Linked DNA regions of Drosophila melanogaster. The protein of the gene in region 2 purifies or fractionates together with the protein of the main gene of each other region. This does not show direct contact. Each region holds a gene or a part of one and is shown on either strand. Other genes may lie near its edges.

Region 1 (4,840 bases), on a different chromosome or scaffold from region 2:
TTTTATTGAGGCGTTATTATGCGATAGCTGTCCCAAGGCCGCCAAGTGCAATTCCTCCGCCGCCTTAGGAACCCCGAATTTAAGGAAATGGGTTTGTGCAAGTGCCCCAAGCGCCTGGTGACCAACCAGTTTTGCTTTGAGCATCGAGTCAATGTTTGCGAACACTGTATGGTTCAGTCTCATCCAAAGGTAAGGATTCCTGTCCTCTAGTTTTATGGATGCTTGGAATACACCATATCCACTCTTTTTCAGTGCATTGTGCAGTCGTATCTGCAGTGGCTGCGGGACAGCGACTACATCTCCAACTGCACTCTGTGCGGCACCACATTGGAGCAGGGCGATTGCGTGCGCCTCGTCTGCTACCGTAGGGATCTGCCAGTTTTGAGCTAATCCAGACACCACACACTTACCCATAATCCTGCCATTTCCAGATGTTTTCCACTGGGACTGCCTGAACGCCCGCCAAGCCGCACTGCCTGCCAACACAGCCCCTCGGGGTCACCAGTGCCCCGCCTGCAGTGTGGAGATCTTTCCCAACGCCAACCTGGTCTCCCCGGTGGCCGATGCTCTGAAGAGTTTCCTGTCGCAGGTTAACTGGGGCAGAAATGGCCTGGGACTCGCCCTGGTAAGCATTCCGGGCAGTAAGCTTGTAATCAATTTAAATGTTGAATCTTTCCCAGCTCTCTGAGGAGCAGAGCAGCAGTCTGAAGGCCATTAAGCCCAAGGTGGCAAGCCAGGCGGCTGTCAGCAACATGACCAAAGTGCACCACATCCATTCCGGTGGCGAGCGAGAGCGCACGAAGCCCAATGGCCATGACGCCGTGAGCCCACATTCCGTGCTCCTAATGGATGCATTTAATCCCCCAAGTGCGGGCGACTACGGTGCGCATAATCTAGCATACACTTTGAGTCATATTATAATTATAATCTTACGCACCTGCAGCCAGCAGCAGAAGACCGCTGCTGCCCCGTCAGTCGCCAATTGGTGGGACAGATCGAGACGATAATAAGTACCAGCGCCGCACTCCTGCGGAATTGTTCTCGCGATGGACACGCCGCTTCTATGCGCCCTCCTCGCGGCCGCCGTGGCGTCGCACTTGGTTCCTGGTGACCGCCGGCATTTTGGCCTTTGTCTTGTTCGTCTATCTTATGGCCTGGCTGGGTCGCGGAGGATCTGATGCCGTGGACGAGGGCTGGAATAACCCCAATCCACAGCCGAACCACTACGAATAGGGTGTGCATTCACGGTCGAAATAAGCATACGTAGCATATAATCGATATCCAAGTCCCCGATTCCGAAAGAATAAAACTTTTACAGCTATTTATATAACCTAACATTGCAAAGCGAAATAATACAACGACAAAGAACGATTTTTACTCGCAGATCATCTATCTAGTCAACATGGGGTTTCAATGTCTGGACTTGACTTCCCTCGGCGGGCGGGGTGCGCTTAGCCGGCGTCGATGGCTGCGGCTTACGTTTGGGCGCGTCCAAGACCTCATCGTACTCGTGCAGCTTCTTGGCCAGGAAGTACATCTCAGCCAGGGCTATGATGAGCGCTACAATCACGCCCAGCAAGATGCGAAAGCCGAAAGGCAGCGGGCCCACCATCAAATTGACGCCGAAAAAGCCGAACGTAAAGCCAGCGGCCACGGAGAAGATGAACTGCACCACGGCAATGATTTGCTTGTTAAGGCTCTTAACTGAAAGGGAAGGGAAGAAGAAAAAGGTTTTAAAAGGGCGGATCTAACAAGCTGGGCGTATTCACTTACTCTGATAGCTGATAGTGTCCTCTGGATAGTGTTTTAAGCCGGCATCCACATTCTTGGTCATTTTGAGGTAATCCCGATTTTGTTGCTCTGCGCGAAGACGTTGGCAGCGCGCTTCTAGCTCAGGATTGCGCGGCTTCATTTCGTTTTCGGGCAGGAGCAGATCACAGGACTCAATTAGCTGATGCAGAAAGACTTGGCAGTGATCCTGACGACGCAGTTCAGCCAGTGTTTTTGAGAGCCAGTGCAGGTCGGTTAAGTATAGGAAATGTTTAACCTCCCTTGTTGACTTTGCGTCATCACTATCCTTGACCCCTGAATCTGGTTCCGATTTATCCTTAGCAGGTTCTTCTGGTTTGTCGGCTAGGTTTTCAGTTAGTTTTGTCAACAGCTCGTAATTGAGTTTTGGTCGTTTGTACTCCAAGCCCGCATCCTTGATAATCCTAATAGAGGTGGGCAGTGTGTGGCCTCTTTGCTTCATAATCTTGGCCACATTTTCGGGCAACTCCTTTAAGTGCTTCTTTTGGGCGTCCAGAAAGTCAAGCAGCTTCTTTGACGGCACAAGGCGCACCCGCGGATCAACAATCGTTGACTTCAGCATAGTTTCTACTTGGCAATGTTAAGCTTTAGTTGCAAATCTGAGTAAAGCTCTGCGATTTCCTCCTCCTTCTCCTCGAATGAGTTCTCGATTCGGCGATAGCCGTGCTCCAAATTGGTTAGGAACTCCGCCCGGCGTTGCTCACGTGCCAGTCGCGCCTCCTGCAACTGGGTGCTAGCCTGCAATTCGAACGGAAGACCAATTAATCAATGATAAACAGGCGGAGATTACGCTGGCCCACTAACAGTTCGTTCCACCTTCGCTTTCGCCAAGAGTGCGTTGACCCCGTCCAGCAGATGGCTGACTTCCGTGTCCAGTTGGGCGAGGTTCTCGGCTCCGCTACCCCTTCCGGTTGCACTGCACCGGGACAGATCGTACTTCAGAGATCCCACTGTTTCGGTGACCTGGAAAAGTTTCTCCACTTCGCTGTCGTTGCGCCGCACCTCGAAGTTCTCAAGAAAGGCCTCGATCTCGCCGTTTACGAACACGCGATGGTCTAGAATGCGAAGCGGCACCTTGTAGAGCTCTGGAAGAGTTGGTAGCACCTGGTTATTAACGATTTTACACTGCTTTTCAAAAACTCCACCTCGTCCGACTTGGCTTATCATTATTTTCATTCGCCCACAGCTGTCACATGAGAAATCGTAGCGAACCAGGGCTTCCACTATCGTATATCGTATGATATACTTAAGATGTTATCTTAAGTTATTTATCCATTAATTTTTGCATTGCTTTTGAGGCCTGTGCTTTAGCACAGATAGTATGAAAGATCCTGCTCACAATAGTTTTATTTTTAATTTTATTTATTTTGTACTTTGAATTTGGCTAACAAACGCTGGTCACCTTAAAGTCTTGCAGCCCTGGCTCTCAATGAAAATACAACTTACACTCGCGAGGGTTAAATTTAAGTGAGCGTTGGTGGGGGAACGGTTGAGTTTGGAACATGGGGAACATGGGGTAGTAGCGCACTACTACCATTTAGGTTCTTTTATGTATGGGCTGGTTCATACTGGACCTGTGTACAATTCTTTAATAATGAAATGTTTTGAAAATGTCCGTTTACTCGGTAAACATCTGATAAAACCAGTAAAGGAGTGCTTGTCTGGCGACCAGCTGAGTGACCAGGTGCGGTCCCGCGTCGCGTTTTCAGCATGTTCGAACCTGCGGCGTCTGGCCACACTGCACTCACGCTGCTTTAATTTCCAGGAGCTGTGGAAAATTGGCCAATTTCAGCAGGATGAGCGAGGAATTCAAGCTGCCCAAGCGTTCCCGCAAGCGCACACGTGAGGTGAAGCGCAAGGCTCGTCCGGAGCTGGACGGCGAGAATGCCTGGTCGGCCATGCGGTACTGTGAGAAGTTCGAGCCATTTTGGGATTTCACCGATAACCTGGAGCGGATCGAGGAGTCGCAGGTGCCGGAGTCGGAGTTCATCGAACGCTTCGAGCGACCCTACAAGCCGGTGGTCATTCGCGGCTGCACCGATGGCTGGTTGGCGCTGGAAAAGTGGACACTAGCCCGCCTGGCCAAGAAGTATCGCAACCAGAAGTTCAAGTGCGGCGAGGACAACGAGGGCTATAGCGTCAAGATGAAGATGAAGTACTACGTGGAGTACATGCAGAGCACGCGCGATGACAGCCCGCTGTACATCTTCGACAGCAGCTTCGGCGAACACCATCGTCGGCGCAAGCTCCTGGATGACTATGTGGTGCCCAAGTATTTTCGCGACGACCTCTTCCAGTACTGCGGCGAGAATCGTCGTCCGCCTTACCGCTGGTTTGTCATGGGACCGGCTCGCTCCGGCACCGGCATCCACATTGATCCACTGGGCACTAGTGCCTGGAACACGCTGATCCGCGGCCACAAGCGCTGGTGCCTGTTCCCCACCCAAACGCCCAAGGAGCTGCTCAAGGTCACCAGTGCCATGGGTGGCAAGCAGCGAGACGAGGCCATCACCTGGTTCAGCACCATATATCCGCGCACCCAGCTGCCTAGTTGGCCGGAGCAATACCGCCCCATCGAAGTGCTGCAGGGAGCAGGCGAGACTGTATTCGTGCCCGGCGGCTGGTGGCACGTGGTGCTCAACATGGACGACACCATTGCCATCACCCAGAACTTCAGTTCGCAGACGAACTTCCCCTGCGTCTGGCACAAGACTGTTCGCGGCCGGCCAAAGTTGTCACGCAAGTGGCTGCGCGTGCTGCGAGACCAGCGACCGGAGCTGGCCCAGATCGCCGATAGTATTAACCTGAACGAGAGCACCGGCTTCGCATCGGACAGCTCCAGCAATTCAAGCTCCTCCTCGTCGAGCAGCTCCTCGTCTTCGGAGGAGGAGGAGAGCGACGATGGCGGCGATTCCAACACGGACAGCGGCCAGGAGAGTCTGACGGCCAAGAAGAAAAAGAAGCGGCGCATGGCTGGCGGCGGCTCCGGGTCCGGCTCCATGGGCGGATCATCGCGTTCCTGATCCAGGGA
Region 2 (5,886 bases):
ATAATCTAACTGCCGACTTTCTTTTTGTTCCATGTTCACCTTTTGGCTGTGTAATTTATTGATTTTCCTTTAAAGGTAAGCATATAAAATGTGTTCAAAATCCTTATTTTTGTCTTAATGAGGATTGATTTAGCAGAAGAGTTCTTGAAGACTATATTCATCACCCAAAACTGAAAACGTTGCAGTTCTTCAAGAAATTAATATAGAAATTATTAATCTAATCACGAAATTTGTTTTTATTTCATGTTCCCCTTTCTTGCTTGCGTTTCTGGCGATTTGATCAAAAAGGTAAGCATTAAAATCTATATTGAGTACTTCAGTTGTGGCTTAATGAGGATTGATTTAGCAGAAGAGTTCTTGAAGACTATATTCATCACCCAAAACTGAAATACCTTTGAAAAACTTTAAATATGGCTTTTTCCTGAGCAATTACTAATATGTTCTTAACTTCTATTCCAGACGTGAGATGGCAACCTCTTCGCACCTCAATTGGTTGATCATTCGCAACAACAACGCCTTCTTGTTGAAGAAGCGCGATGTGAAGAAGCCCTTCAGCACAGTAAGTAAATATGGATTTAAATAACGTGCACCACATTTAAATGATGTTTCCAACTTATAACTTTCACAATGATATTTGAATACAACATGATAGTAACTTTAATCTGATAAAAGTTGGCTTCATCACTACTATGATATGACAAGCACATTACTGACTTCTAAATCCCTTCCAGGAGCCAAACAACTTGGCCAGCGTGAGCTCGTACCGCTACAGCGGCATCGTGCACAAGAAGACCCTGGGAGTCGTGCCAGCTGCCGACAAGAAGGGCTTCACCGCCGTGCTGAAGAAGGGCAAGTATGCCCAGCGCCCCGCCAAGAACACCGTGCGTGTTGACTTCAAGGCCGGTCCCCGCCGTTCCCTGAAGAAGCTGAAGAACCTGCTTATCGGCTCCAAGTACCGCAAGGACCTGACACAGGTGATTATGGCTCCAAGCCTAGAAACAACTGTTTGGGTTCTTGTCATGATGATCTTTTTTTTAATGCTACACAACCAAGATCGCAGAATGATCGTGTTGATAAACTTATCTGAAGCTCTCAAAGCTGAAGCTTATCGTACTTCAGTGTTAGGCCTATTCTAATGATTTTACTTGTGCTTATAGGCTGCCCTCCGCCGCGCTTCCGCTGTCCTGCGCTCCCAGAAGCCCGCCCCCGTCAAGGGAAAGAAGGCCGAGTTTGCTAAGGGAAAGAAGCCCGAATAAACTGTACCAGATTGGGGCTATGCGGAGCTGTTTTCTACTCGAGAATAAAGAAAAAATATTAAAAACACCGTAATATTAATACAGTTCTGTGGTTATTTGTCGATAATGGGTAGCGACCAAGTACTGCATACTTTGGGGCGGTAGTTATGAAATTTTCTATAACCATGAATGAGCTTACCATATATATTGTTGCTTATTAAACGACAAACTATATTATTGTTGATACAAAAGGTATCTTTAGATCAATCAATCTTTGTTTGCCTAAATGATTCTCACTTTTATTGAACTATTATTCCTGGGATATGGATGACGTTACACAGAAAGAGACCATGGAATTGCATTGACGGTTACACGAATAAAAAGATCAAGTAAGAGCGCTATAACTCTAGTCAAACATATATCGCTGCTTATAGTACGCTACACGTGGATTTTAAATGCGCATTGAGCTTGGCTGCTATACACAGCCTCAGTAGAAGTACTCGTACTTCTGGGCGTGGTGCAGCATCACCTCCATCGACTTCTTGCCCTGCAGGACCCCATTTCGTTCCATATAGTTCCAGATGGAGGCCATGAAGACGCAGAACAGGATCACGCCAAACACGATGAACTTGAGCAGCAGAAAGATAGTGCGCATGCCCACGGGGGCGGTGAACTCCACCAGAAGGACCAAGAGGACAAACAGGAAGGTGGCGGCGCTGTAGTACAGTATTCGATCAGTGTTTAACTGCAGCAGGGAAGCATCGCACAGCGCCAGAGCTTCAAGAAGGGCAGCAGTTCTAGCGGCGGGCATGGATTGAATGGAAGTGGAGCTTCCATTGCATTGGATCTCCGGCTGGTGTTGTGATGACTGATCGTCCTCTCCTGTCAAAGCATCCCCTGCTCCTACTTCCCTCACGGAACAGGTTTCACCATCCTCTACCAGGCAGTTCACCTCGATCGTTGCCACTGGCTCCTCACTTCTAGGTTCCAGCTTGAATAACTTCAGCTTGGCCATCACCGCCTCGTGGTCGGAGAAGCTAAATTTCTCGCCGGGTACTCGCTCCGGAAAAGGCAGTTTGTATTCGGCTATCTCAGCATTTACATGATCGCCACCACGCACAAAGATGTGATCGATACGGATACCCAGAGGATTTCTCTCCCGTGCTTGCTTAGATGTGTATGAGTTGTGTTCGCATTCGTTGGTCCGAAAAGAGTCCGAGTCGCAGCTGTCGAGCATCTTGGAGGTATAGAGCAGCACCTTGTAAGAGATGTCCTGTGGCTGGGCATTCAGGTCGCCAGCCAGAATCTGCAGCGCAGAGTTCCCCCTGGTGGCTTCAATGAATTGAGCAGTATCGAAGGCCTGAATAACGCGATGTGTCTTGTACTCGTCGTTGGCATTGTCGTACTCCGCGTGCAGGTGGGCATTATATAGGTGCACCATCTGCCCGCCGACGAGTATGCGGCACAGGCCCACACCTTTGCCGCCGAACCAATCGGCATGCTGAATACGGTGGAAGTAGCCATTTACGGACCACGCATGAAACAGAGTGCCCAGGATGGGGTACTTGGACAGTACCAGCAGACCGGCGCCCATCACGCCGCTGTGAAAGTAGTGGCTATGGGGCAGGACCGCCTCCGTGCCCTTTTGGAGTAGCTCGCTGTCCTCTTGCGCCCACACCTCCTGCAGGGACACGATGTCATACTTCCCGCTAGCCAGCTCCTTGCAGATGGCATCGATGCGGGGTCTGCGATCACTCGACACATACGGAATGCCCCTGAAAGTGCACATGATTAGCCTGTGCAGATCGGTGTCAAGGGAAGTGGGGCTCCAGCAGCCTTAGAAGGAGATGCCTGCTCTCACCATATATTCAGGGTCAGAATGTTCAGCTCCAGCAGCAACATAGCGACTTCTTTGGCCAATTTTCACGTTCGCATGCTTACAATGGAATAACGGGCGCGGGAGCAGCGATAAGATAACTTTTTGATTTTGTTATTTTTAAAAGATATAAAGCCACAGTGTGACCGTCTGGGGAAAGCCGAAATTTAATAAAGCCTGAACCCCTGACGAGCTTTGTTGATGCGACAAGTCAAAGTCGCACATGAACAGGGATGCATTTCTTTGCATTATTAATTTCTAATTGAGAATGCATTTTCTTTTTATACACTGTAACTAAAATTTTGGTAATTGCGGTAATTGTTTAAGTTATGCATTTTGCGAACAAGCTTGTCTTGCAAGGGCTAAGTATTTGAAAAACTGATAGCTTATTGTGGTATTTTTGAATAGTATGCATTGGTCACTCTATTGCCGCAACTAGTAAATTGTTCAGTATTTAGTCAAAAAATTTCAAAACATAAATAGCACAACATAAATGTTGGGACACTATGGTATTTAGGCAACAACATGATGCTACAGCTACTTCTATTCTGCCTGGCGCTCTTCATCTTCGTTTATTGGTTAGTTTTGCCTGTTCCGTGGCCCCATGATTGATCCATCATCGTTATAAACATAAAAAATTGATCACTTTCCATTTTAGGGTCTTGCCCACGGGCATTAGTTGGTATTTGGTGAAGAGGTTTCGGGTCAAAGTACGGATCGGTCGCATTTCGCTGCCCTACTTGTCCCTGAAGAATGTGCACATCAGCAAGAGTGGATTCTCGGTGGTATGGATAACCTTCGAACTCTGGTTACCAAGCGATAAACACTCCTAATTTTACAGCAAATCGAGGAGGTGTGTCTGCGCAGCAGTTTCTTCACCACCGAGGTGACCAAGCTGCTCTCCATTTATATCCGTGACATTCGCATCAACAAAGACATTCACAGTCGACAGGATGACTCCTACGACCAGGACTCTTACGAACTCCGGCGGACTCAGACGTTGGCGGGCAAAGCCTCGGAGGCGAAGGGTGTGCCAGACTTCCGGCAAACTAAGGTGCCGGCGAGTATTATCACCTTTGCCCAATTTATGGCAGTGCACGTGAACAACATATCAGTGGTTCTGATGAACAATGACTTTGATCCGGGGTGGTTCATCCATGCCACGGCGAAGGAGCTTCATTTGGACGGGAGTATAGTGCAAAATGCTCGTGTTCTGTTGGTCAATGCAGCCCTTAGCGAAGCACAGGCCAAGATGCTGAGGCACTGCAGCTCTCGCCGTCAATCGCTGGAGAATCTGAACAAGATTCGTCCTTGCCTAGGCGAGGTCAGCTTTGACATGACCCTGGATGCGTCGCTCTTTGCCCAAGGCCCTCTGTCCATGGATGTAAGTGACTTTTTGACTCCTTAGTATTCCTTTTATTAATTCCCGTTTGCAGACCCTAAGTCTGGTCATCAACAATGCCAAATCCGTCATCCACGGCGGACTGTACGAGTTCCTTAGTGAGGCCAAGCGGAGGACATCGACCGGTCAGCCATCTCGGCGCTCCACTCAAGGCCTAGCTCCCTCGAAAAGGTCCTACGACAATGACAACTACGAGAAGCTGGCGCCCATTATACCAAAGAACTTTAACTTTAGCATTAAGGCGGCAACGTTTTCGGCCGTCAAAGAAAACTCACAGAACGATTTTAGTGCCAAACTGCAGTCGTTTCAAGTAGGTTAATACCACTACTATGAGCTAATCTATAATAATACATAATCTGCACAGATCTCGGGAAAGTTTAACTCGAAAGTCACCGATGAAAAGACGTTGTTACCGTCAATGCTTGCCAAATTGGGTTTTCATCATCTAGACATTGACACCAAATATGAAAAGCTCCTCTTTGTAGAACAATTTACCATAGACTCTGTGGTAAGTAAACACATTATGGCCCAATTAGTGCAATATTATAATACTATACCTTTCAGCTGGAAAAAGACATATTCAACTTGTATGTAAAACTGAAGACATTCCAAATCATATATAATCACAGCGAGATCTATGACTTTGTCAACAACAATTTTCTGGCCCGCCAGCGATCGAGCGAAGCGCAGCCAATGCAGTTGATACATAAGCAGAAGTCCCTGCCGGATCACTTGGATCTGGACACGGCTGTGCAGAGTAATCTGCGAGCGAATCAGCGACGGGAGGGCGGAGTTCTAGAGTGGATTATGCAGCGAATTGTTGTTAAAGGCTGTGCGGAACTGTTTAATGTCTCTCTTCTTATGAAACTGGAAGATGAGCATATTGCCATGAGTGTGAGTCACACAAGATTCCTCTTGGAGCAGATCGAGGAAAAGCGAAGTAATCTCTATGAGAACAAGTTCCTCAATTTGTTGTTGAATCAACGACAATGGAGCATGGAACTCATGGTGGAAACTCTTTGGTCAAATCTAGGTAACTCCATCAACGACACCAACAACTTGAAAAAGACTCATTCGCCAGGCTCGCCGTTTTTCCTCGGAGTGAGCTTGGTCAAGCTCTGCTCGTATGCAAACACCACTAAACTGGACATATCAGTGCACACATTTCGCACGGAATACAGCATGCAGCTTGCGGAATTCGTGGTCAAGTCAATGGAGTGCCTTCGGCAGTACCGGGGCATAAAACCAAAGAATATGTCGGGACAATCTCACGCCAGACCAAATGCAGGCCTTACATTGTCCGTGCAGCCATCACAATCATCTACCTCACTGCGGGTGTCTGTTAAGGTCAAGGATATTACGGCTTACTTTGT

Evidence for each region. Proteins that work in one complex are often made in the same cells at the same time.
Region 1: the proteins of nSMase (region 2) and CG7071 purify together in Drosophila melanogaster (affinity purification with mass spectrometry, with the first as the bait; one large-scale study listed by BioGRID). This does not show direct contact.

What each region holds. Positions count from the first base shown.
Region 1 is NT_033777.3:22,361,061-22,365,900, reverse strand, and holds CG7071 (uncharacterized protein), read right to left. Parts: upstream 3,282-4,840; 5' UTR 2,986-3,281; coding exon of another isoform or gene 2,955-2,985; exon of another isoform or gene 2,895-2,954; coding exon of another isoform or gene 2,614-2,894; intron 2,548-2,613; coding exon of another isoform or gene 2,377-2,547; 5' UTR 2,372-2,376; coding exon 1,774-2,371; intron 1,705-1,773; coding exon 1,394-1,704; 3' UTR 1,321-1,393; downstream 1-1,320. Other genes in the region: CG5382 (uncharacterized protein), read left to right, coding at 88-189, 253-364, 432-625, 681-882, 944-1,233; muted, read right to left, coding at 2,377-2,547, 2,614-2,894, 2,955-2,985; JMJD6 (jumonji domain containing 6), read left to right, coding at 3,606-4,832.
Region 2 is NT_037436.4:3,216,555-3,222,440, reverse strand, and holds nSMase (neutral sphingomyelinase), read right to left. Parts: upstream 3,286-5,886; 5' UTR 3,138-3,285; coding exon 3,097-3,137; intron 3,011-3,096; coding exon 1,723-3,010; 3' UTR 1,516-1,722; downstream 1-1,515. Other genes in the region: RpL28 (ribosomal protein L28), read left to right, coding at 467-559, 732-974, 1,158-1,256; hob (hobbit), read left to right, coding at 3,637-3,689, 3,770-3,896, 3,953-4,495, 4,548-4,823, 4,878-5,021, 5,078-5,886.